Macaca fascicularis: one gene and its partners. The protein of the gene in region 4 purifies or fractionates together with the protein of the main gene of each other region. This does not show direct contact. Links are inferred from orthologs where the notes say so. Each region holds a gene or a part of one and is shown on either strand. Other genes may lie near its edges. The genes, in order: DBT, BCKDHA, BCKDHB and PPM1K.

Region 1 (4,569 bases), on a different chromosome or scaffold from region 4:
AGATATTTCACAGAAAGTGTCATGTAAATTCAAATATGTATCTTCTTTTTCTCTTGATAAATATCCCTATGGTAAGCCATGGAGTTCTGTTAATCTTCTGTTTGACCAAATAACTAGGCTTGGAAATTTTAACTTAACCTTTTTCCTTTTACCACAATTAAGGTGCCAGTATAAGAGTAGAGCATTAAAGTTAGTAAGTATATTAACATGCAACCATTTTAAGAAAAATCAGATGAATAGAGAATACTGAAACTAGTAATTCGTATTTTGACAGCATCAGTTGAACTGTCAGCACAGCATGAAGTTTGAGAGTAGAATTATTTCTCAAATTAACATTGAACTTAAACCGGGAAGAAAATACAAATGTTCTTTGTTGGAGAAATTATAAAATCTTGCAATTGCAACAAACAGCCTCACAGTTTAGTAGTATCTTGTGTATTTGCCTTCCACTCCTTACTCTACTGCTACCTCAGCTTCCTCTCTATCCACGTCATTAAAGAACTCTCTTAGAAAAATTCATAATTTAACATGAACTGAGGTGGGATGGGGTGGGAAGGCAATGCCTCACTTTACATAGTTCATTTCCTTTTTAATCTGCCCAGAAAAAATTTCTCCCAGATTCCCATTCTCGATTCATGTAGTTGAATGAGGATGGCTGACTCCTAGGCTCCAAAGGTGACCATAAGACTCAAGTGTGGACAGAGTATTCTATTCTCCTGCCCACAATGACAGGCACATGAACCAAGAAAGACAAATCAAAAGCTGTCCTGGATATGTGTGTGTGTGTGTATGTGTGTGTGCGTGCCTGTGTGTATGTGTGTGTGTATATATATACATATATATATATATATAGAGAGAGAGAGAGAGAGAGAGAGTCTTGCTCCGTTGCCCAGGCTGGAGTGCAATGGCACAATCTCAGCTCATGGTATGGTAGATGTTTAATGTTTGAATGTATAATAAATGCATACAATGGAATACTATGCAGGCATTTATTTATTTATTTATTTTGAGACAGAGTCTCGCTCTATCATCCAGGCTGGAGTGCAGTGGCGCGATCTTGGCTCACTGCAACCTCCGCCTCTGGTTCAAGCAATTCTCCTGCCTCAGCCTCCTGAGTAGCTGGGACTACAGGTGCCCGCCACCATGCCTGGCTGATTTTTGTATTTTCAATAGAGATGAGGTTTCACCATATTGGCCAGGCTGGTCTCGAACTCCTGACCTTGTGATCCACCTGCCTTGGCCTCCCAAAGTGGTAGGATTACAGGCGTGAGCCACCACACCCAGCCTATGCAGCCATTTAAAGCATGATAATGTGGAATTGTTTATTGACATGTAAGGTTACCCATAATATAATGTTATATTTTAAAAATCAAATAATAAAATAGTAGCTATACTATGATCCTGTTTTAATAAAAAAGAATAGCCATATATACAGATACATACATCAAAATGTTAATAGTGGTAAGATTATGAATGATTTTTTATTTTATTGGTTAACTCTTTGTATTATCTGAAATTTTACAATAACAGCATTTATTTGACCTATTTTTTTTTTTTTTTAAGAGACCAGGTCTCACTCTGTCACCCACACCGGAGGATAGTGGCACAATGACAGCTCACTACAGCTTTGAACTCCTGGGCTCAATTGATCCTCCTGTCTCAGCTTCCTGAGTAGCTGGGACTACAGATGCAAACCACCACACATGGCTAAGTTTTTTTTTTTTTGGAGACAAAGTGCTGCTCTGTTGCCCAGTCTGGAGTGCAGTGGTGTGATCTCTGCTCACTGTAACCTCCACCTGTCGGGCTCAAGCAATTCTCCTGCCTCAGCCTCCCAAGTAGCTGGGACTACAGGCGTGCGCCGCAAGGCCCAGGTAATTTTTTGTATTTTTACAAAACTGTAGAGACGGGATTTCACCATGTTGGCCAGGGTGGTCTTGAACTCCAGATCTCAGGTGATCTGCCCGCCTTGGCCTCCCAAAGTGCTGGAATTACAGGCGTGAGCCACCAGGCTAATTTAAAAAAAAATTTTTTTGAGATGGGATCTCACTATGTTGCCCAGGCTGGTCTCAAATTCCTGGCCTCAAGTGATCCTCCTGCTTTGGCCTCTCCTATAACTGGGATTACAATTACAAGTCATCACACCTGGCTGATGTATTCTTTCCTGATTTAAAAATTATTTCCATTTTGAGAAAAACCAAGTAGATACTAAAACAACCTTTTTTCTGTCACAAAACTTCACTTAAACAACTAATTTTGGCATACAGTTTTCAACTGGACAATATTAGAAACAACATGGATTTCCGAATGCAAATGGAAATGTTGGATACATTAATCTTGATGCTATTTCTGATTAAAGTAGACCTTTAGCAAAATGATCATTATCAAACCTTCATTTCTATATAAAATTTCGTATTTTTTATATCCATAATTACTATTAGATTCTTCCTTCTCCTCTTATTTACATTCTTACCCAGGATATGAAGAATGGAATAGACCTTAATTTCTTATCCTATTTTTTAGCTAAAAGTTAAAAGGAAGTAGATTTCTGAAATTAAAAAAAAAAAAAAAAAGAAAAGTCAGTGGCTGCTACCTTTAAAGTACCTTCCTTACATGAGGGAAGTTTGCAAAGGTGAAGGTCTTTCCCAAGAAAATACCAAACCATTACCAAAAATCTAAAAGTATATCCATTTTAAACGAACACCTTTAATAGACTGGTTATAAAACTATAATTGGACATTTTTAAGGCCAGTTTATACTTTTCCCTTTTCAAAGACATTAATTAATATAAATAAGACATTTACAGATGATGTTCTCTATACAGAGCAAGAATATACTCTTGGATATCTCCAAAGAGAAGTATAATTGCACTTATTTTATACAACAATTAGCATAACAGGGAAATGGGAAATATTTTTGCATATAAATTCCATTTCTTAAGTATAATTAAAAAGTGTCATTAAGAATCAGTTAAAAAAAATAGGGCATATACTGTCTGTATATGGCTACCTGTCTTTTAGTAACATTAATTTTGTTTTTTTTGTTTTTGAGACAGAGTCTTGCTCTGTTGCCCAGGATGAAGTGTAATGGCACGATCTCAGCTCACTGCAACCTCCACCTCCCAGGTTCAAGCGATTCTCCTGCCTCAGCCTCCCGAGTAGCTGGGATTATAGGCACCCACCACCATACCTGGCTAATTTTTATATTTTTAGTAGAGGCGGGGTTTCACCATGTTGGCCAGGCTGGTCTCGAACTCCTAACCTCAGGTGATCTGCCCACCTCGGCCTCCCAAAGTGCCGGGATTACAGGCGTGAGCCACCACGCCCTGCCTAATTTTGTTAATCTTGCCAGTTTCAAGTCATTGACACAAAAATGTCAGCACCGTATTAAGAAGTCACACTCTGACCTATAAAATGTGACAGCCCCAGGAGAACTATTACCCCATTATTCATTTTCAGTAAAAAGTCTAATAGAACAGTGACAAATATTGTACCTTAGATCCTTAATCATACGATACAAATCATTTACAATACAAATTGTAAAGATGAACATGTGCTGGCACAGCTAGGGTTTACATACTCTTTGGAAGCTCAAAAAGTTCAAGAATGTCTTATCGGTCTTCATTTCAGATCTAGTAGCATAAAAGCCGGGTTTTCTAAGTAGGATTTCCACAAATTAGAGAAGCGTGACATTGTAGCACCATCAATAACTCTGTGATCAGCTGACCAGCTCACATTCACTATCTGTGCCTTATATACTTCTCCTTTCTGGTTAAATCGGGGAATGGCCTAGAAATGAAAAATAGAAAAAAAAAAAAAAAACAAAGAGTAAACCCTCACTTGCTCAAAGCTCAAGCTCTAACAATGGTGTAAGATCAAGCAAACCCTTCTTCCTACAGTAGAGAAAAAAATGGGCATCCCCAATGACTTTTGAAAATGCTGACTCCTATTCTTCCCATCTTCGAGTATGTGCCTGGAGCTTTCAGAAGTTCTCCAAGGTACTTCCTATCCCTTGTACAATTCCTGTACCTACATTCATTAACTTTCATCTCAGATTTTAAATATTTAATAATTTTTTACTGTATACCCACTATGTGCCAAGTACTCTTCTGGGCTCTGGGGAGAGACAGACAATTAAATAAGGCTTCCTCACTGAAGGCAGTGAGGAAACAAGCCATTCTCAAGCTCCCCTGACCACTGAGTTGGCCAGGAAGAAGACAGAGGACAACAACATGCTTGTGTTCTTCGTGGATGTTAAAGCCAGTAAGCACCAGATCAAACACGCTGTGAAGAAGCTCTATGACACTGATGGGGCCAAGGTCAACACTGTGGTCAGGCCTGATGGAGAGAGGAAGGCATATATTCTGTTGGCTCCTGATTACAATGCTTTGGATGTTGCCAACAAAATTGGGATCACCTAAAATGAGCCCAGCTGGCTAATTCTAAATATGTATCTTTTCACTGTTAAAAAAAAAAAAAGGATAGACAAAATATAAGCCCCAACTGATTATTAGATTCAATAGACATAAAATCATGCTGTCAAACTGCTATAAAAGTTTCTAAGCCCTACTCT
Region 2 (5,890 bases), on a different chromosome or scaffold from region 4:
CAGCTCAACATCGTCACCACTGACCTCCAAATGATCAACCCTCCATTGACCCGGCTGTCAGTAAGGCCGAAACAGCTGTCAGCCCTCACATCTCAGACACGCTCTTCTCTTGGCCCCAGGTCACCACCCTCTCCCGGTTTCCCCCTAAGTCTCTGGGCGTTCCTTCTGAGTCTCCTTTAGCTTGCTTGTCACAAGTCCCTGACTGCTCAAGTTGGAAGGCCTAGGGCTTGGTCCTGGGACCTCTTTTCCATCTACACTGACTTCGTTCAGTCAATAGGCTGAAATACCATATATACAGCCAGAGAGTTCCAAATTGCCTATGTCCAGCTTGGGTCTCTCTCCTGATTTCCAGACTTGTACAGATCTGGGCAGAAACCTTAGTTATGCCTGACTCTTTTTCCTCGCACTCAAACCAAACTATAGGTAAGTTTTGTCCGTTTTACTTTCAAACTACATCCAGAATCTCATCACCTCCACTACTCCTGTTCTGGCTGGAGCCACCATCACCTCCCTGTTTTCCCCCATACTCCCCACAATCAACACAGCAGCCAGATTTTGTTAAAATGTATTGGGGCTGGGCGTGGTGGCTGGTACCTATATGAGCACTTTGGGAGGAGGACTGCTTGAGTCCAGGAGTTCAAGACCAACCTGGGCAACATCGTGAGACCCTGTCTCAAAATTTTTTTTTTTTTTTTTGAGACAGAATCTTGTTTTGTCGTGCACACTGGAGTACAATGGCACAATCTTGGCTCACTGCAACTTCTGCCTCCTGGGTTCAAGAGATTCTCCTGCCTCAGCCTCCCCAGTAGCTGGGATTACAGGCGCCCACCACCATGCCTGGCTAATTTTTGTACTTTTAGTAGAGTCGGGGTTTCGCCATGTTGGCCAGGCTGGTCTCGAACTCCTGACCTCAGGTGATCCACCCGCCTTGGCCTCCCAAAGTGTGGGGATTACAGGCGTGAGCCACTGTGCCCAGCCTCCTGTCTCAAACGTTAAAGAGAAATATTCTTGGAGTTAATCTGGTTCTGAGAGTTATTTAGCTAGGGGAAGGGGATATTTGCCCTATAGGTAAGACTTGCCCTAATCTTAGGGATATTTACTCCTGTGGAGAGATGCAGTGAGGTAGCGGTGGGGATGTATTTTTCAACCCAGGGCAGTGACATTATCTTCAATTTGAGGAGTATTTACGTGGGTGAAAGATCCGCCACAGTCCAGAGTATGCAAATTGACAGGTTTGCGTCAGTCCGGGATGCAAGGACCTAGCGGGCGTGTGTGTGGGGCGGGCGGGGGCGGGGGTGAGGAGGAGGAACCTAGTTAAGGGCGATATTTACCCTGGTGAGGTGATTTTCCCTATTCTGAAATATCAATTCTTGCGGGGACGGTCTGCCCCGCCTGTCATTCTCAGACATATTTACAAAGATGGAGCTATCTTCTCCTTTCTAGTCGTGAGGGAGAGATGTATGTATCCCTGCGTATGTAGTAGTATTCAATCGGACAAGAAATCATGTATCAACGCAGGAGTGACATTTACCAGCTGGTATCATGGGGAGATGGGCACTCCGTTGCACGGTACATGGTAGTCCCTCTCCAAAAGACCTGGGTAAGTTCTTACCTTGCAGGAAGGAAGCAGAGCCATCTGGCCGCGACAGCAGGTTCTGTTCGCAGGCAAAGTGCCGGAGGCTGCAGCCGGGACCCCGAGGGCTGCACCCTGTTCCAATTTCAGCGCGGATTTTGGCGTCAGTATGCATCTCCTCCTCCATCGCGCCGACCCCACGTGCGGCTGCGATTATCACTTCCGCCCGGCAGCGCGCGCTGCGAACACTCTGCGTAACCATTGCGCACGCGCTGGGCTCGGCCGTCAGTCCTGGCGTCCGCACGTGGCTTAGCGTTTACCAACAATCTGGCTCCGCCCAGTCCCACCTCCTAACTCTGGCAACGCCATTGGACAGTTGAGAACAGGAGGCAGGCCTTGGCAGTGACCTGTTTTACTCTGGGCCCCCGGGCCCTAAATCCCTGAGGCCGTGGTCAGGTTGCCCTCTTCTTTGCCTGTTACAGGAGTAACTACAATGAGGCGACTGGGGAAAATTTTGGGTAGATAGGTTTTCTTCTCCAAATCTCTGTGCATTCTATCTACAACAGAATGGGAAGAAGGTGATTTTCTTGTCAGATGGTGCTGGAGTTTGTGTCAGGCACATAAAGGGGCAGCCCCGAATCTAGCCTACGTGAGTGCCCTACCGCTGAGTGGTTGCTAGCCAAGATGGCGGTAGCGATCGCTGCAGCGAGGGTCTGGCGGCCAAACCGAGGCCTGAGCCAGGCTGCCCTCTTGCTGCTGTGGCGGCCTGGGGCTCGGGGATTGGCTAGATCTGTGAGTACCTGGGCCCCAGGGGGTTTTCCCAAAGGGGATTAGGGATGTAAAGGCTATCTTCAGAGTGTGGGGTCCCTGAAGGATATGAAGGAAGGGCTGTCACAGAAGGGAAAAAGTGGGAGACCCCTTGGAGAAGACACCGAAGGGAAGATCTGCCACTTCCTTAGAAGAAAAGAACTTCCACTTCTTCAGGAGAGGACAAAACCCGTTTGCAACTTCTTTGTGGGCCCTGAGGGAGGGAGACGACTTGAAGAGAGGGATGGGAGTTCCTTATTTATTTATTTAGTTAGTTTTTGAGGCGGAGTCTGGAGTGCAGTGGCCGGATCTCAGCTCACTGCAAGCTCTGCCTCCCGGATTCACGCCGTTCTCCTGCCTCAGCCTCCCGAGTAGCTGGGACTACAGGCGCCCGCCGCCACCCCCGGCTAATTTTTTTTTTTTTTTTTGCATTTTTAGTAGAGACGGGGTTTCACTGTGTTAGCCAGGATGGTCTCGATCTCCTGACCTCGTGATCCGCCCACCTCGGCCTCCCAAAGTGCTGGAATTACAGGCGTGAGCCAGCGCGCCCGGCCGGGGGTTCCTTATTAACTGCCACTCGTATTCAGGGGAGGTTCCTTGGAGGGACAGGGGAAGACCGCGAGACCTTTTCCCTCAGGCTTTGGAGAATGAAACTGACTTTATAAAGGAGAGACTTTCTTCTGGGCAAAGATCCCTCTTCAAGAAGAAGAAAGAAGAGAGCAAGTCCCCTTATCGCAGGCTGCATAGGGCCTTGTATTTCTTTGCTCCTTTGCCACAATTCTGATTTTAAAATGAATTGTGTAAAAATTTTGTTTGGTTCCTGTGTCTCCTGATCGAATATCAAGACAGGGAACTCGTGTGTTCTGGACACTGTACAGAGGAGATGATTAATATTTGTTGAGTTAATGAGGGGAAAAACGGAGGGACAGAGGTACAGATAGGGCACTTTGCCCACATTTCTTAGAAACACTTGAGAAGGCTTTGTTTCTTGTCAAAAGGGTCACAATCCCTTCAGGTGGATGCTGTCAAAATTACACTGCAAAAAACCTGGGTGGAAGCCTCTCTTTAGAGGGGGAGAGGCAAGGGGTTGCAGAAGAGCTTTGAACTACATTTGACAGATAGGAGAGTAGTGGTTACATGGGTGGGTTCGTGTCCTTGCTCTGCCACTTTCCACTTGTGTATTGGGCAACGGACTGCACCTCTCTGGATCTATGGACCTAATTTCCCTCTCTAAAATATTAACAGTGGCCACCTCATAGGACTGTGAAAAATTAATATGTAAAATGCTAAGGACTGGACCTGGCACATCATAAGGGCAATAGGAATGTTGGTCATTGTTGATAGTGAGGGTAGAGGGAAAGGACAGAAACTGACGTTGGAGATGGGGAGAAGAAAAGGGTGACCTTGGGAAGGCCTGGACTGGTGAGGCCCTGCGGAAAAAAATCTTAAAAGATCTTGTGAGGTTGAGTCTGATCCTCTGATCCCCAATCCATAAGGAGGAGAAGATGGAATCTGTAGAAAGAAGCTCTGGGTAGGGGGACAAACGGGAGGAGGGTGAAGAGGATGGGCCGGGAGTAGGACGTAGTAGGTATCTAGGAATGGAGTCACTTGAAACAGGTAAATGCAGAAGGGCTGCAGGAGCAAGATGTGGGTAGGGCAGTCTCCTGCCTTTGGGCTGGAGACCTTTTCACTTTTTTTTTTTGGAGCAGTTCATATCCTCCACCGCTGATCTCAGTCCCAGGAGCCTATTGGCTGGGCAACTGGGGCGGGAAGTGGGCAGGACTGGGGCAGGGTAGGGAAAGGTCATTTAAGGCTGATTAAATCTTTCTCTCCTGTCTCAATCTCCTGATTACCTTTCCTCTTGCTTCCCCTCCTTCATTTGTGGTGAGGAATGGGGAGGGAAGAAGTCCCTACTTTTAATTTTTTAATATATCTTTAAATTTGTATTATCTTAGAGTTATTGTTTTTTCCCCTTTATTTCTCCCACCTGTTCTTTCTCTCTTCTTTCTTTCCTCTCCTTCTCTTCTCCTCTCCTCCTCCCCTCCCCTCTCCTTTTTCTTTTCTTGTCTTGTCTCGTCTTGTCTCTTCTCTTTTTGTTGCTCTCTTTCTTTCTGTACCTCTTTCTCTCTTTTCTTTTTCTTTTTTCTTTTTTTTCTTTTTCTTTTCCTTTTTTTTGAGACAGAGTTTCGCTCTCTTGCCCAGGCTGGAGTGCAGTGGCGTAATCTTGGCTTACTGCAACCTCTGCCCACTGGGTTCAAGCAATTCTCCTGCCTCAGCCTCACTAGTAGCTGGGATTACAGGCGTGCACTATCACGCCTGGCTAATTTTTGTATTTTTGGTAGAGATGGGGTTTCACTATGTTGTCCAGGCTGGTCTCGAACTTCTGGCCTCAAGTGATCCGCCTGTCTTGGCCTTGAAAGTCATGAGCCACTGCACCCAGCCTTTTCTTTCTTTTTTTGAGACAAGGTCTCACTCTGTTGCCTAGGCTGGAGTGAGTGCAGTGGTATGATCATGGCTCACTGCAGCCTCAACCTCCTGGGCTCAAGCAATCCCCCCACCTCAGCCTCCTAAGTAGCTGGGACCACAGGCACATGCTACCATGCCTGGCTGATTTTTAATTTTTTTTTTTTTTTTTTTTTTTTTGAGATGGAGTCTTGCTCTGTTGCCGAGGCTGGAGTGCATTGGCACAATCTTGGCTCACTGCAACCTCCACCTCCCAGGTTCAAGTGATTCTCCTGCCTCAGCCTCCTGAGTAGCTGGGACTACTGGCGTGCACCACTGTACCCAGTTAATTTTTGTATTTTTAGTAGGGATGGAGTTTCACCATGTTGACCAGGCTGGTCTTGAACTCCTGACCTCAGATGATCTGCCCGCCTTGGCCTCCCAAAGTGCTGGGATTACAGGCATGAGCCATCGCGCCCGGCCGCGCCCAGCTAATTTTTAAATCTTTGTAGAGATGGAGTTTTGCCATGTTGTCCAGGCTGATCTCGAACTCCTGGACTCAGGCAATCTTCCTGCCTCAGCCTCCCAAAATGCAGGATGACAAGCGTGAGCCACCTTGTCTGGGCATATTATTCAATTATGAGTTTAAGTAGCCACAAGTGGGCTGGGCGCGGTGGTTCACGCCTGTAATCCCAGCATTTTGAGAGGTCAAGGTGGGCAGGTTGCGTGAGGTCAGGAGTTCGAGACCAGCCTGGCCAACATGGTGAAACCCTGTCTCTACTAAAAATACAAAAAAATTAGCCTGGCATGGTGGTGTGTGCCTGTAATCCCAGCTACTTGGTAGGCCAAGGCAGAAGAATTGCTTGAACCTGGGAGGCGGAGGTTGCAGTGAGCTGAGATCGCGCCACTATTCCCCAGCCTAGGTGACAGAGCAGCCCTTTGTCTCAAAAATAAAATTAATAGCCCAAGTGGTTGGTGGCTGCCATATTAGATGGTGCAGGGTTTTTTGTTTTGTTTTGTTTTTTGTTTTTTTTTTGCGATGGAGTTTTGCTCTTATTGCCTAGACTG
Region 3 (5,716 bases), on a different chromosome or scaffold from region 4:
AGTGAACAGCAACTTTGCTTTGTATTCCAACTCCACAGTCATGGGTTCTGCAATTGGAAGTAGGTTAAGCAAAGAGTGGAATACATTTTAAGGATACGGTGATGTCTCATAGAATCCCAGGACCAGAAAGCAGTTAGGCCTTGGGAATAAATGGAATCAGGAACTCAAATGTAATCACACTCTTCACCTTTTCTGGTTCACAAAATTACTGAAAACTCCCATTTTTTGCAGTTCCTAGTGGCATTTAAAGATAATCTGATCTTTGTTTCTAAAATACACTTCCAAAATTCCCAGAAAAGGACAGTTTCTCAAATTGAGTAAATGTGGCCAGGGCTAGGGGAACGGAGGAAAGTTCCATTCTAATAACATAGATATTTTCATGGTTACCAGGCAAATGGTGTGGTAGACATGGGGGAAATTAAAAAAATTAGTTTGCAAAGCAGATGAATCTGGCAAGTGCCCTCTTTGTTGTTCTTGGCTGCATATAGTTGAAATTTCAAACCTCTTAGACCAGCATACAAAGGCCTTCAAAATCTCCCTTTAATCTGTTTTTCCTACTTTTTCTGTTAACCCTGTCTCATTCCCTATACCCTGAATCTAGAAGGACCAAGCTACTTTCTCTTCCTGGAATGCACTGGGCTCTTCGTGCCTATCAGCCTTTGTACAAGTTTCTTCTTAGTTTGGAATGCCTTTTTCTCCCTAGTCTGGCTGGTAACTTCTAGTTATCTTTTAGGTCTAGCTCAGAGTTATATCTGGAAACACTTGACTTTCAAAGAATAATTTATTGCTTTTTTTGTGTTTCACTTTGTTGGCACTATTCTAGGACCCCTATCACATTGGATTGTAGTTGTCTAATCTGTCTCTTTTCTCTACCAACTTGAACATTTTAGAAGTAAAACTATGCCTTGATCGTATTTGTCTCAATGGTGGCTTGTCTTTGGGTTGTACATAGCAGAGGTTCAATAAAATTCTCATCAGTTATTATTTTTCCCTTTTTCTCCCCGACCTAAGTAATCTCAGTACCCCCAGCTCCCTAAATTATCAACAAATAGAAAAAAAGCTCTATTCGTTTTTATCCTTGTTCTTTACTCTCTTTAGTTTAAACCCAAATTTGACTATGTAAATGTAATTTCATTTTGTTACCCCTTTCCTTCATTAAAACAAAAATACCCTTCATGCACATGCAAAACACTCTATCCGACACTGTTAAAAGAGCAGAAATGAACACCAACAAAAGCCAAGATGAAAAATTTCCCCAATGTTGAATTTTTGGACTTAGCGTGGGAGTAGGAAAATGGAGACATAATTCTGGTTCTCCCTTTGGCAGTTTTCAATTGCTGTTTCTCAGTCTCAGTCAGAAAACACATCTCTCTGCCTTTCATTTCACCCCATTTCTACTTTCTCCTCCTTTGCCCCTATGCAAAACCAAAGATGGGTTGAGAGGCCAGGCATAATGGAAGAGGAACGTTCTTTTCTTCCACTCCTGCTTCATTCTCTCCCCCTTTCTTCTTCAAATTCTGTTTTGGGCCCATCCTTCCTCACCCTTCCAATTTCATCTGATGGACACGCTGTCACTGTTGTCTCTTGTCATATTTGATTTTATGATATTTCATGATTTTTTTTTTTTGGTAAATTCATGGACAGAGAATGTATCCTGGTAAACACTTAGATTAAAACAAATTTACACAGTTGATTACTATAAATGAAAATTAGTGACTCAAATTCTCCAGGTTTCTAAGCTGCTTAGACTAAGCCAATCAGGTAATTTTCGCTACTTCTGGGCAAAATGTATCTGAATCTATTCAGTGGATTTGCAGGACGAAATCTAAGTTTACCTCTTTCATCTCTCATTTAAATGCGGAAAAACAAAATTAATAAAAATCGATATATGCTTATTAAGCATTTTAAGGAGGATGTGAATAAGGAGCGGAGGCTTTGAGCAGTGACTACAGCAGTCAAAACCAATAACCAATGCCAATCAGTAGCTCTTTTCACCTCTCACACAATAATAGAGACAGGAGAGGATAAAAAAGGGTGACATTAAAAAAAGTATGGATGTTAAAATGAAAAAAAACATTGGAAATGGCACTGTAAATGACACCGCAAAAGATCGCCTCCAGGCACTGTGTGGAGCTTCGCAGACTCGGGTACTCACCCGAGGGCCGCAGGACGGACCTCGGGGAGGCTCCGCCCCAGAAACTATTTCATGGGCGCCCCCACCGCCCAACACTTCCCCTCTTCCGCATGCGCACAAGGAGCAGGAGCCGGTCAGCTCGTCACGTCGCCTTCCCCGCCCCTAAATTTCCAGTTCCGATTGGTCCGTTTCATGGGACCGCCCCTCTGGCCCGACCATTGTGAAAGCCTCCTCGGGTGCTCCGCCCTCCCCGCGGGCTGCGTGCGGCATCGCCTGCGAACCCTGGCGGTGAGCGGGGATGGCGGTTGTGGCGGCGGCTGCAGGCTGGCTGCTCAGGCTTAGGGCGGCAGGGGCTGAGGGGCACTGGCGTCGGTTCTGTGGCGTGGGGCTGGCGCGGGGATTTCTGCACCCCTCCGCGACTGTCGAGGATGCGGCCCAGAGGCGGCAGGTGGCTCATTTTACTTTCCAGCCAGATCCGGAGCCCCGAGAGTACGGTGAGCCAGGGACTGCCCACTCGGTCCCGCTGTAGCCCGGACTCCCAGGCTCGCAGGCGCCCGCGAGGGGCAGGGGCCGGCAGGCTGCAATCCTTGCATCCTAGCTTATTAACTGCCTTACCCTCTGGAACCTCCTTGCCCCAGGGTCTAACTGTGATTCACTTCTTGCTCTATTTTTGTGAGTGTTCCGCTCCAGAGACGCAGTCCCCCCTCCCTCGCACCTTTGTGATGGGTGAGAGGGCATACTGCCACCTGGAAGGGCCTGAGGGTGGAGGGGTGGTGCCCAGGGAACGCCCCCCCTTTCTCTCTCCTCCATCCTTACTTTCTCAACCTAGACCTTAGGTGTTGTTCCAGCCTGCCCGGGACTGGGTCACTAGCTTAGGTAGAGACATTAAAAAAAAAAAAAAAAAAAAAAAAATATATATATATATATATATATATATATATATATATAATCAATTCTATTACTCAGTTCCTTGGTTTCTTCTTACCTACAGAAATGTGTGTGTGTGTGTGTGTGTGTGTATATGTCCCTTGGTTTCTTCTTACCTAGAGAAATACATATATATATATCCCTTGGTTTCTTCTTACCTATAGAATTTCTGCAGGTAAGAAGAAACCAGGGGACTGAGTAATTGAATTGATTTTCCCAAGGTCACAGAACAGGTTCTTCCTAGAGATCCAGACTTTCTACTTAAGCTTAGTACTGAGCTTGTCCTGGGCTATGCTGCCACTTAGCCAAGGAGGTGAAGGTGATAGGAGGAGGAAGCCATAGGAAGGGTATGTAGCAAACTCCTCATAGTATGACTATTGCATGATTTTTACCATTTCTGCAAGTTTCATGTAATGTCTCTTATCAGAATATCAGATCCAGTGTCTCTCATCAGAATATCAGGAAACTAGGTAAACATGTATTGCTTCCTTGTCTAATAACTTCTCACGTGCATGCTAGAGCTGACATTTTTGGAAGTGTGTCTTTTCTTGTGGATAAGAATGAACATTTATTGAGTGCTTACCAGGGTCAGGCACTGTGTGTATGTTTCATCCTCTCATTTAAGGGTTAGGACAACCTTAAAAGGTTGGTAAAGTTTTTATTCCCATTTTGCAGTTAGATTAATGGAAGTCTTGAGACAGTTTGTCCAAGATTACACGGATAAATTAGTGGTAGCTCCAGAGCTCCAGCTTTGGAATCTAATTGATCAGATTCCAGAGCTTCCATTCTAAACAATGTACTAAGATGCATGTAGATATAATTTACTAGGAGGGTGTCCCAGTATTGTGAAACAGTAGGTACCATAAAGGTTAATAGTAGGTTTTTTTTTTTCCACCACCAAGATGAGCCCTCAATTCTGTCTTGAAAGCAAAGAATAATCCACCTTTCCATAGTTGTAAATTTACTAAAATCTAAGTAAAATGATATCATGTTATCGTGATATATATCATGATATATATAAACTTGTTCTTATTTTAAAAATAATACAAACATATTACAGGTAATTTGGATAATGGAGAAAAAGTAAAAAAAAAAAAAAAAAAAAAATCTGCTGGGCGCAGTGGCTCACGTCTGTAATCCCAGCACTTTGGGAGGCCGAGGTGGGTGGATCACCAGGTCAAGAGATCGAAGCCATCCTGGCCAACATGGTGAAACCCTGCCTCTACTAAAGATAAAAAAATTAGCTGGGCGTGACAGCGCACGCCTGTAGTCCCAGCTACTTGGGAGGCTGAAGGAGGAGAATCGCTTGAACCCGGGAGGCGGAGGTTGCAGTGAGCTGATATCGTGCCACTGCACTCCAACCTGGCGACAGAGCAAGACTCCGTCTCAAGAAAACCCCAAAAACCAACCAACCAAACAAAAATCGCCATCCACTACTAACATTTTGGGTGTATCCTTACAGGTATTTCCTTTTAGTTTAGTATTTTCCGTACTTTTAGTTTTAATACAAATACAACTTATTTAGTCAGAAGGATAATCCTATCATTCTCTGGAGTTTTTATAACCTTCTTGAGAATTTAGAAGAAATGTTCCATGGAGTAGAGATGCTACAAGTCTTTTACAAGTTAAATTCTTGACTTCGGAATCAGATTGTCCTAAAGTTGATCTTGTCTTGGCTATCTATAACTTTGGAGTTATCACTTATCTTCTATAAGCCTCAGTTTCTTTATATGTAAGGGGTTAATAATAATACCTACTTCAGAAGGTTGTTCTGAGAGCTACATAAAACAATGTCTATAATATACTTAACACTGTTTGACAACTGAGAGTCAAGCATTCACTCAATAAGTGGAACCTTTAATTACCATTATGTTTTTGTTGCTAAAGTTTTGCAGTTTTATAAATAATGCAGATATAAGCATTTAATGCGTATGGGTTTTATGTATCTGAGATGATTTCTTTAGGATAGAGTCCTGAATGCTTTAGTGGATTTTAAGTGCATAGTTCAAATTTATACACTAGTTCATACCCCATAACATGTATAATAGTGTGAGTATTGGATATTAATGCTAAAATTAGGTGTGTTCATGTACACTTTTGGATATTTTGTGCTACCTGTACTTTGTTTTAATTTTTGTTTCATTTCCGTTGAGGAATATTTTCCCATGTTTTTGTTAACGTGATTTATTTTTACTTAAGAATTGAGTATTAGATGTGTTTACATATTTTTAAAAGTATACTCAGTATTTTTCCTATCAATACTATCTACCATTATTGCATAGTTGCTCTTTTCCAGGTGTTGTGTTAGACATCAGTTTATAATCCTCACAGTAACCTTGTGAGCTAGACAATATTATGCTCATTTTAAAGATGAGAAAATTGAGGCTCAGAAATGTTGGTACTTGCCCGAGTCTGGTAAGTAGCAGAGCCAGAGTTTGCATCCTGAGGTGTCTGACTCCAAAGTCTTCCATACTACTTATATACTAAGATTTTTGTCTATTAAAAAATATTGAAGAAGATACTAACTTTCTGCTTTTCACGTGTGCTGCAAATACTTTTCATTCTTTTATTTTGGTTGTTTTGACATATAAAAGGTACTGCTGAAACAGGAGGTGGTCAGATTAGACTCTGAGTTGGTGACACTTACGCTGCTTT
Region 4 (5,136 bases):
AGTTAGATTCCAGCCTGACCAACATGGCAAAACCCTGTCTCTACTAAAAATACAAAAATTAGCCAGGCGTGGTGGCAGGCGCCTGTAATCCCAGGTACTCTGGAGGCTGAGGCAGGGGAATCACTTGAACCTGGGAGATGGAGGTTGCAGTGAGCTGAGACTGTGCCATTCCACTCTAGCCTGGGAGACTAGAGTGAAACTCTGTCTCGGAAAAAAAAAGAAAAAAAAAGAAAGAAAGTAAAAGAAAAGGGCTACCTGGGGCCAAGTATGTTCAATATGCTCCATCTTCCCTTTTCTTTGTCACCATGTGTACAGTAAAGAAATGGGCAACATGGCACTGGCCAGGTAGAGAACCCATCTGCATAATAAAAGATTAGGGTGGGTGTGGCCAGATTATTGAACGCTCTGCAAATTGCACACCTAGCCCTAACCAGTTTTTTGTGTGCTATGCAAATGGCATACCTAGCCCTAGCCAGTTTTTCGTGTACTATGCAAGTGGCACATCTGGTCCAACCAATCTTTTGTGCCCTATGTAAATCAGACACTGCCTCCTCAAGCTCACCCATAAAGCCTACTGTACTTCACCATGGACTAGAAATCTGTTTGGGGCCTCTCTTTTTGAGGAGAGAGCTTTTCTCTTTCTTTCACCTATTAAGTCTCCACTCTTAACCTCACTCCTTGTGTGTCCTCGTCCTTGATTTCCTTGGCATGAGACAATGAAACTCAAGTATTACGTCAGACAAACAATGCTGCTTCAGTAGGACTGAGGGGCGCGTCTCTCTTTTATACCTAAAATCTCAACATTAGTGATTCACTTCTATGGTTTAACTAAGCCTTTTTCAGGTGTCTGCTAATTAAAATTCAAATCCACCAGGAGTGACAGCTCATTAAAATGCATACATTTTATTAATAATTTGATTAAATCAGCTATATGATAATCAAAGAAAAAATTACAGTGACTTCAGTGAGAAAGAGTAGGCAGTGGAGATCTCAGTTCAATCCAAATAATTATTGAGTACCTGCCAGGTTCTATGCAGGGTGCTGCATACTGGAGATTCAAAAATGAATAAGCCACAGTCCTTCACCTCACAGGAAGGGTTCAAGAGGAGGGGAAAGGGGTTAATACTAAAAGAGAAAAGATGAAAGAAACTGGAGAGGGTAAACTGCACTTACTACAAAATTTTGTTTCACTGGCACTGGTCCTATCTATATACATAGGCTGAAAAGAATATTATCCACTCTTATAATACTGATACTGCTTCAGTTCTTGCTAAAAACCAAAGTTTTAAACTTAAATAATAACTTTGAAATATAAAATGACATTTAAAAATATCCACAAATTGAACAGTTACACAACATATGGCATTCTATCTTTAATGGCTTTAATGTATTTGATAAAACAGGCCCTAAATATCAAAAGACAATTTTTGCCATCTTTGAAGGCTTTGGCAACTTATTAAGAATAAAATTTTTAAATGTTCTCAAAACACTAATTTTTAAAAAACACAGACCAATAAGAATATATACAAAATAAGATTTAATAACAAAATAAAATTTTAATAACAATTTAACAAAATAAGATTTAATAACAATATTATAATAGACTTTTTCTTGTAGTACACACTAAGAGCACCATCCTGTCTTGCTCCATTATACTTTCAAACAAATTACCATTATAAGAAAAATCCATTTTAAAATATCTTAAGAATGTTCTGGGATCACTACCTCAAAGCATATGACAGAGGAATTAAATTAAATAATGCATTTTAATTTCTTTATTACAAATGAATTAATTTTATTAAGAATAAAAAATATGGAATGCTTCCTGCACTTGTGTGCCATCCTTACACAAGGACCATGCTGATCTCTGTATCATTCCAATTTTAGTGTATGTGCTGCTAAAGTCAGCATATGAATTACATTTTTGTGATTAATTTCTTTACACGGCTGTTTAATTGTTTTTGTGACAAAGGTATCTTTAGAAAGTTTATTTTAAGATAGGCAAGTTAATAAAATTTTTTAAGTTCAAAATTCTATTGAGTTATACTTTATTCAATAATAAAAGGAGTCCTGTCATATTTTACATCAAGTCAATCACTGTTTGGTTTAAGCATCTACATTGACTAGATACTTTTAAAAAAGGCTGATGGCACCAAGAAGGTCAGTGTTTTTGGTTGGTGGTCACATGCCTGGGATAAATTTGGACATTCTTATCCAAAAACCTTGCCGAGTAAGCTGCAGCTATTTACAGAACAGCTGGGGCACACCACTGGCACTACAGTCAATAAACATTGTGGGGTAAGACATAGCCAGACTCACAGTCAACTTGGTTAATATGAAATAAGAGAGTACCAAAATTCAGGAAGTAATAAAAATAAAACTGTAAGAAAACATTCTATTTCCTCTTCTCCTTCATGTGTTTTAACTATTTGGAACAAGAGCTAAATCTTATGCATAAAGTTTACCTCTTTCAACTTCTGTCTTCTTAAAGGTAAGGATCCAGTTGAAAGAAAAAAAAAATTCCAAAGGAATGAGAGAAAAGAAAATGGGCCTAAATAATCTACAAAATGGAAAACATATCCCTGAACAGAGTGGACTGTAATGCTTTCCTGAGGACTGTGATAGTAAGGTTCTCAAAAAAACCTCAGGAAAAATCTCAAGATGGCAAATAGAGCCATCCCAGAGTTACTTTCTCCTTTCCTCATGAGAGGAGAGAGAGAATGCTGGTTGTCAGGAAAATCTCAGCCCTAACTCTGAACTGACCTTGACCATTCTAATCTTCAGTTCCTTCACTATGAAATGCAGAGAATCTCTATCCTTATGTATTCCAACTGAAGACTGTGAAAATGACATTTCTGTGGTGCATGTGGTTTTTTGTTTTTTGTGTTTTTTTAGAAAAGGATGAACCAAATATAGATCAAGATTACTGCATGATTCATTTTCAAATCATTTACAAGGTTACATGCACACATTGATTTCGCTGGTACAGAAATTTTCAGGGCTAACTTTAACAGCAAAAGATTTGAGGCTAGCTAACTAGAAAACATTTGCTGTATTTTCCTGAAATTGTTTTGATAAATTTAGGCAAAACCAGAAACATTTCACTTTCAAAATTTAAGGACATGCAGTATACACAAAATTTTAAATTCAGCTAGCATGCCCTTATGCTGAAAATATCACTAGTTACCAGAGGAAAGCTGCAAGATTGAGCTTTTCAAGAAGTGACAGAAAAATATTTTCCTTCTAATCATCCAAATTAGTGCATATTAACCATTGTCTTTTTCTATTTAGGACCTATTTGCAATTTTCTTCTTGTTGGACAATGACTATCCTAGCTAAATGTGATTACCCTGTAGTGTATTTCAGCACTTGGTCACCAGATCCATCTAAAAAAAACAAAAACCCAAAACAAAACTCATAGTATGGGCATTTTGTCCATAAAATGAGCAAACAGATTAAACATTTTTTAAATCTTTTAAAAACTAAAGTACAACATCAGAACTGTTTTGGGGCTTCTCTTTCTGAAGAACTCTCCAATATATTTCATTTAAAAGTGAGGTATTAACATTAATTTGGATTCCCAATGGCATTTAATGTGAATCTTCATATAAACTCATTTCTATATAAATCCTTACAAACAATTGTACATTAAAATCCCCTCCCCCAAAGGACTTAAATTGTTGCCTTTTTACTCCTCCCCCACCCTACATACTCCCTAGGACCCAAGGAATGTGACAGTTTTACATACCATCAGCAGACAGGCGGGCATGACTCGAAAAGGCTTTATCTATTTCTAGAAAAGCCAGGATCAACACAGTTTCCAAGTTCTTCTCCTTAGGAAGCAAATCGCTTTGTGGGGAGGAAAAAAAAGAGCCTCAAATAATCATTTTACAATAGGTTTCTCTCCTCACTGTTACTCTAGCTAGCAGTCATTCCACACAATGGGCCTCATGATTTTCCAGTCAAATGCTGAAGACTTACTGGCTAAGGAATACTTATTGAGAATCCACTAAGTATCAGGCACTGTGATAAGCTTTTAAGGGCACAAAAATCAAAGTCCAAGTCCTTGTCCTTGAAGAATTAATCCTTACTACCACAACTCTGAGAGGTCAAGAGTTCCTTCCTATTATGAGTTCTTTCGTGGAATGAGGTATACACAGGAAGTCAAGAAATGGTCACTGGGAAGTCAAATATAGTCACACGGTCATAACTCCATCACATGTTCTCCCTCTTTCGATTTTAGCAGTAATGTGATCCTCAAAAATGCATTAATAATAGTTGAAGTAAATAAACTGAAGAGCTCCAAAATGCCTGCATTAAATGCATTTTTTCCACACTAATGCCAATCATCCAAAGCTATTTTCAACAAGTCAAGTATTCAAAGCTATTCACACCACTTGAAAGAGTAATTACCATTCACTGAAGCACTTAGACATCCTACACTGATGGGAGTAAATGCTTCTCATAGGTTATCTCATGTACATTATGCCACTTCACTTAAAATAATCACAAATTAAGTGCTATAAATTTTGGTTAATGCTTTCCCCAGGGGAGTTGTTAAAACATGCATTTCTGAAATTGTGATAACCATAAGAAATAAATGGCACACTTAACTACTGCTCATTCATGAAGCAGCAGCATGCAATCACTCAAGTAACTATGTTTACCCTGGAAGCCTCAGTCAAAGGGTGAAAGTTTAAGTAGGAAGCATGGGGGAACTGCAAAGTCAGGAGTTAAAGTCATTGTACATACATAATACATTTCTCCATGTGGGTATGACAGAAATCAGCTGCTGCAGGTCCACCGTGTCCATCATACACTGCAAAGTACAGGACCTCATCTGTCAGCTGAGCGAAGTCAAATCGATCTTCATTCTCTTTCCGTTTGCCAATCTGTGAGGCGCACCCCACATTTTCCAAGCTGATTTTGGGAATTGGCTTGCCATACTTAATGCTGGGTGGCAGCAGAATTGGCTCATCAATGCGGTTATCCCAGATCCCAAAATTGTCCCAGGTAGCTGGACTCCCACTGCCGTCTGGGTCAAACCGAGAACACCTAGGCTCTGAAGTGGAGCTGTGGCACGTGGGTGTCACCCGCCTGTCGTCCTGCAGCAGGCGGGAGCTTAGCAGCACTCTC

Evidence for each region.
Region 1: the proteins of PPM1K (region 4) and DBT purify together in Homo sapiens (affinity purification with mass spectrometry; 4 studies listed by BioGRID and IntAct, counting the BioPlex papers as one, with this or other methods). This does not show direct contact. The link is inferred for Macaca fascicularis from reciprocal best matches to the Homo sapiens genes PPM1K and DBT.
Region 2: the proteins of PPM1K (region 4) and BCKDHA purify together in Homo sapiens (affinity purification with mass spectrometry; 4 studies listed by BioGRID and IntAct, counting the BioPlex papers as one, with this or other methods). This does not show direct contact. The link is inferred for Macaca fascicularis from reciprocal best matches to the Homo sapiens genes PPM1K and BCKDHA.
Region 3: the proteins of PPM1K (region 4) and BCKDHB purify together in Homo sapiens (affinity purification with mass spectrometry; 3 studies listed by BioGRID and IntAct, counting the BioPlex papers as one, with this or other methods). This does not show direct contact. The link is inferred for Macaca fascicularis from reciprocal best matches to the Homo sapiens genes PPM1K and BCKDHB.

What each region holds. Positions count from the first base shown.
Region 1 is NC_088375.1:134,204,318-134,208,886, reverse strand, and holds the end of DBT (lipoamide acyltransferase component of branched-chain alpha-keto acid dehydrogenase complex, mitochondrial), read right to left. Parts: intron 3,786-4,569; coding exon 3,618-3,785; 3' UTR 1,386-3,617; downstream 1-1,385. UniProt on the Homo sapiens protein: The branched-chain alpha-keto dehydrogenase complex catalyzes the overall conversion of alpha-keto acids to acyl-CoA and CO(2).
Region 2 is NC_088393.1:48,538,959-48,544,848, forward strand, and holds the start of BCKDHA (2-oxoisovalerate dehydrogenase subunit alpha, mitochondrial), read left to right. Parts: upstream 1-2,243; 5' UTR 2,244-2,257; coding exon 2,258-2,365; intron 2,366-5,890. Other genes in the region: EXOSC5 (exosome complex component RRP46), read right to left, coding at 1,613-1,760. UniProt on the Homo sapiens protein: Together with BCKDHB forms the heterotetrameric E1 subunit of the mitochondrial branched-chain alpha-ketoacid dehydrogenase (BCKD) complex.
Region 3 is NC_088378.1:95,038,441-95,044,156, reverse strand, and holds the start of BCKDHB (2-oxoisovalerate dehydrogenase subunit beta, mitochondrial), read left to right. Parts: upstream 1-2,421; 5' UTR 2,422-2,432; coding exon 2,433-2,628; intron 2,629-5,716. UniProt on the Homo sapiens protein: Together with BCKDHA forms the heterotetrameric E1 subunit of the mitochondrial branched-chain alpha-ketoacid dehydrogenase (BCKD) complex.
Region 4 is NC_088379.1:93,822,796-93,827,931, forward strand, and holds part of PPM1K (protein phosphatase Mn(2+)-dependent 1K), read right to left. Parts: coding exon 4,753-5,136; intron 3,850-4,752; coding exon 3,749-3,849; intron 3,387-3,748; coding exon of another isoform or gene 3,346-3,386; exon of another isoform or gene 1,537-3,345; intron 1,126-1,536; exon of another isoform or gene 1,020-1,125; intron 1-1,019. UniProt on the Homo sapiens protein: Serine/threonine-protein phosphatase component of macronutrients metabolism.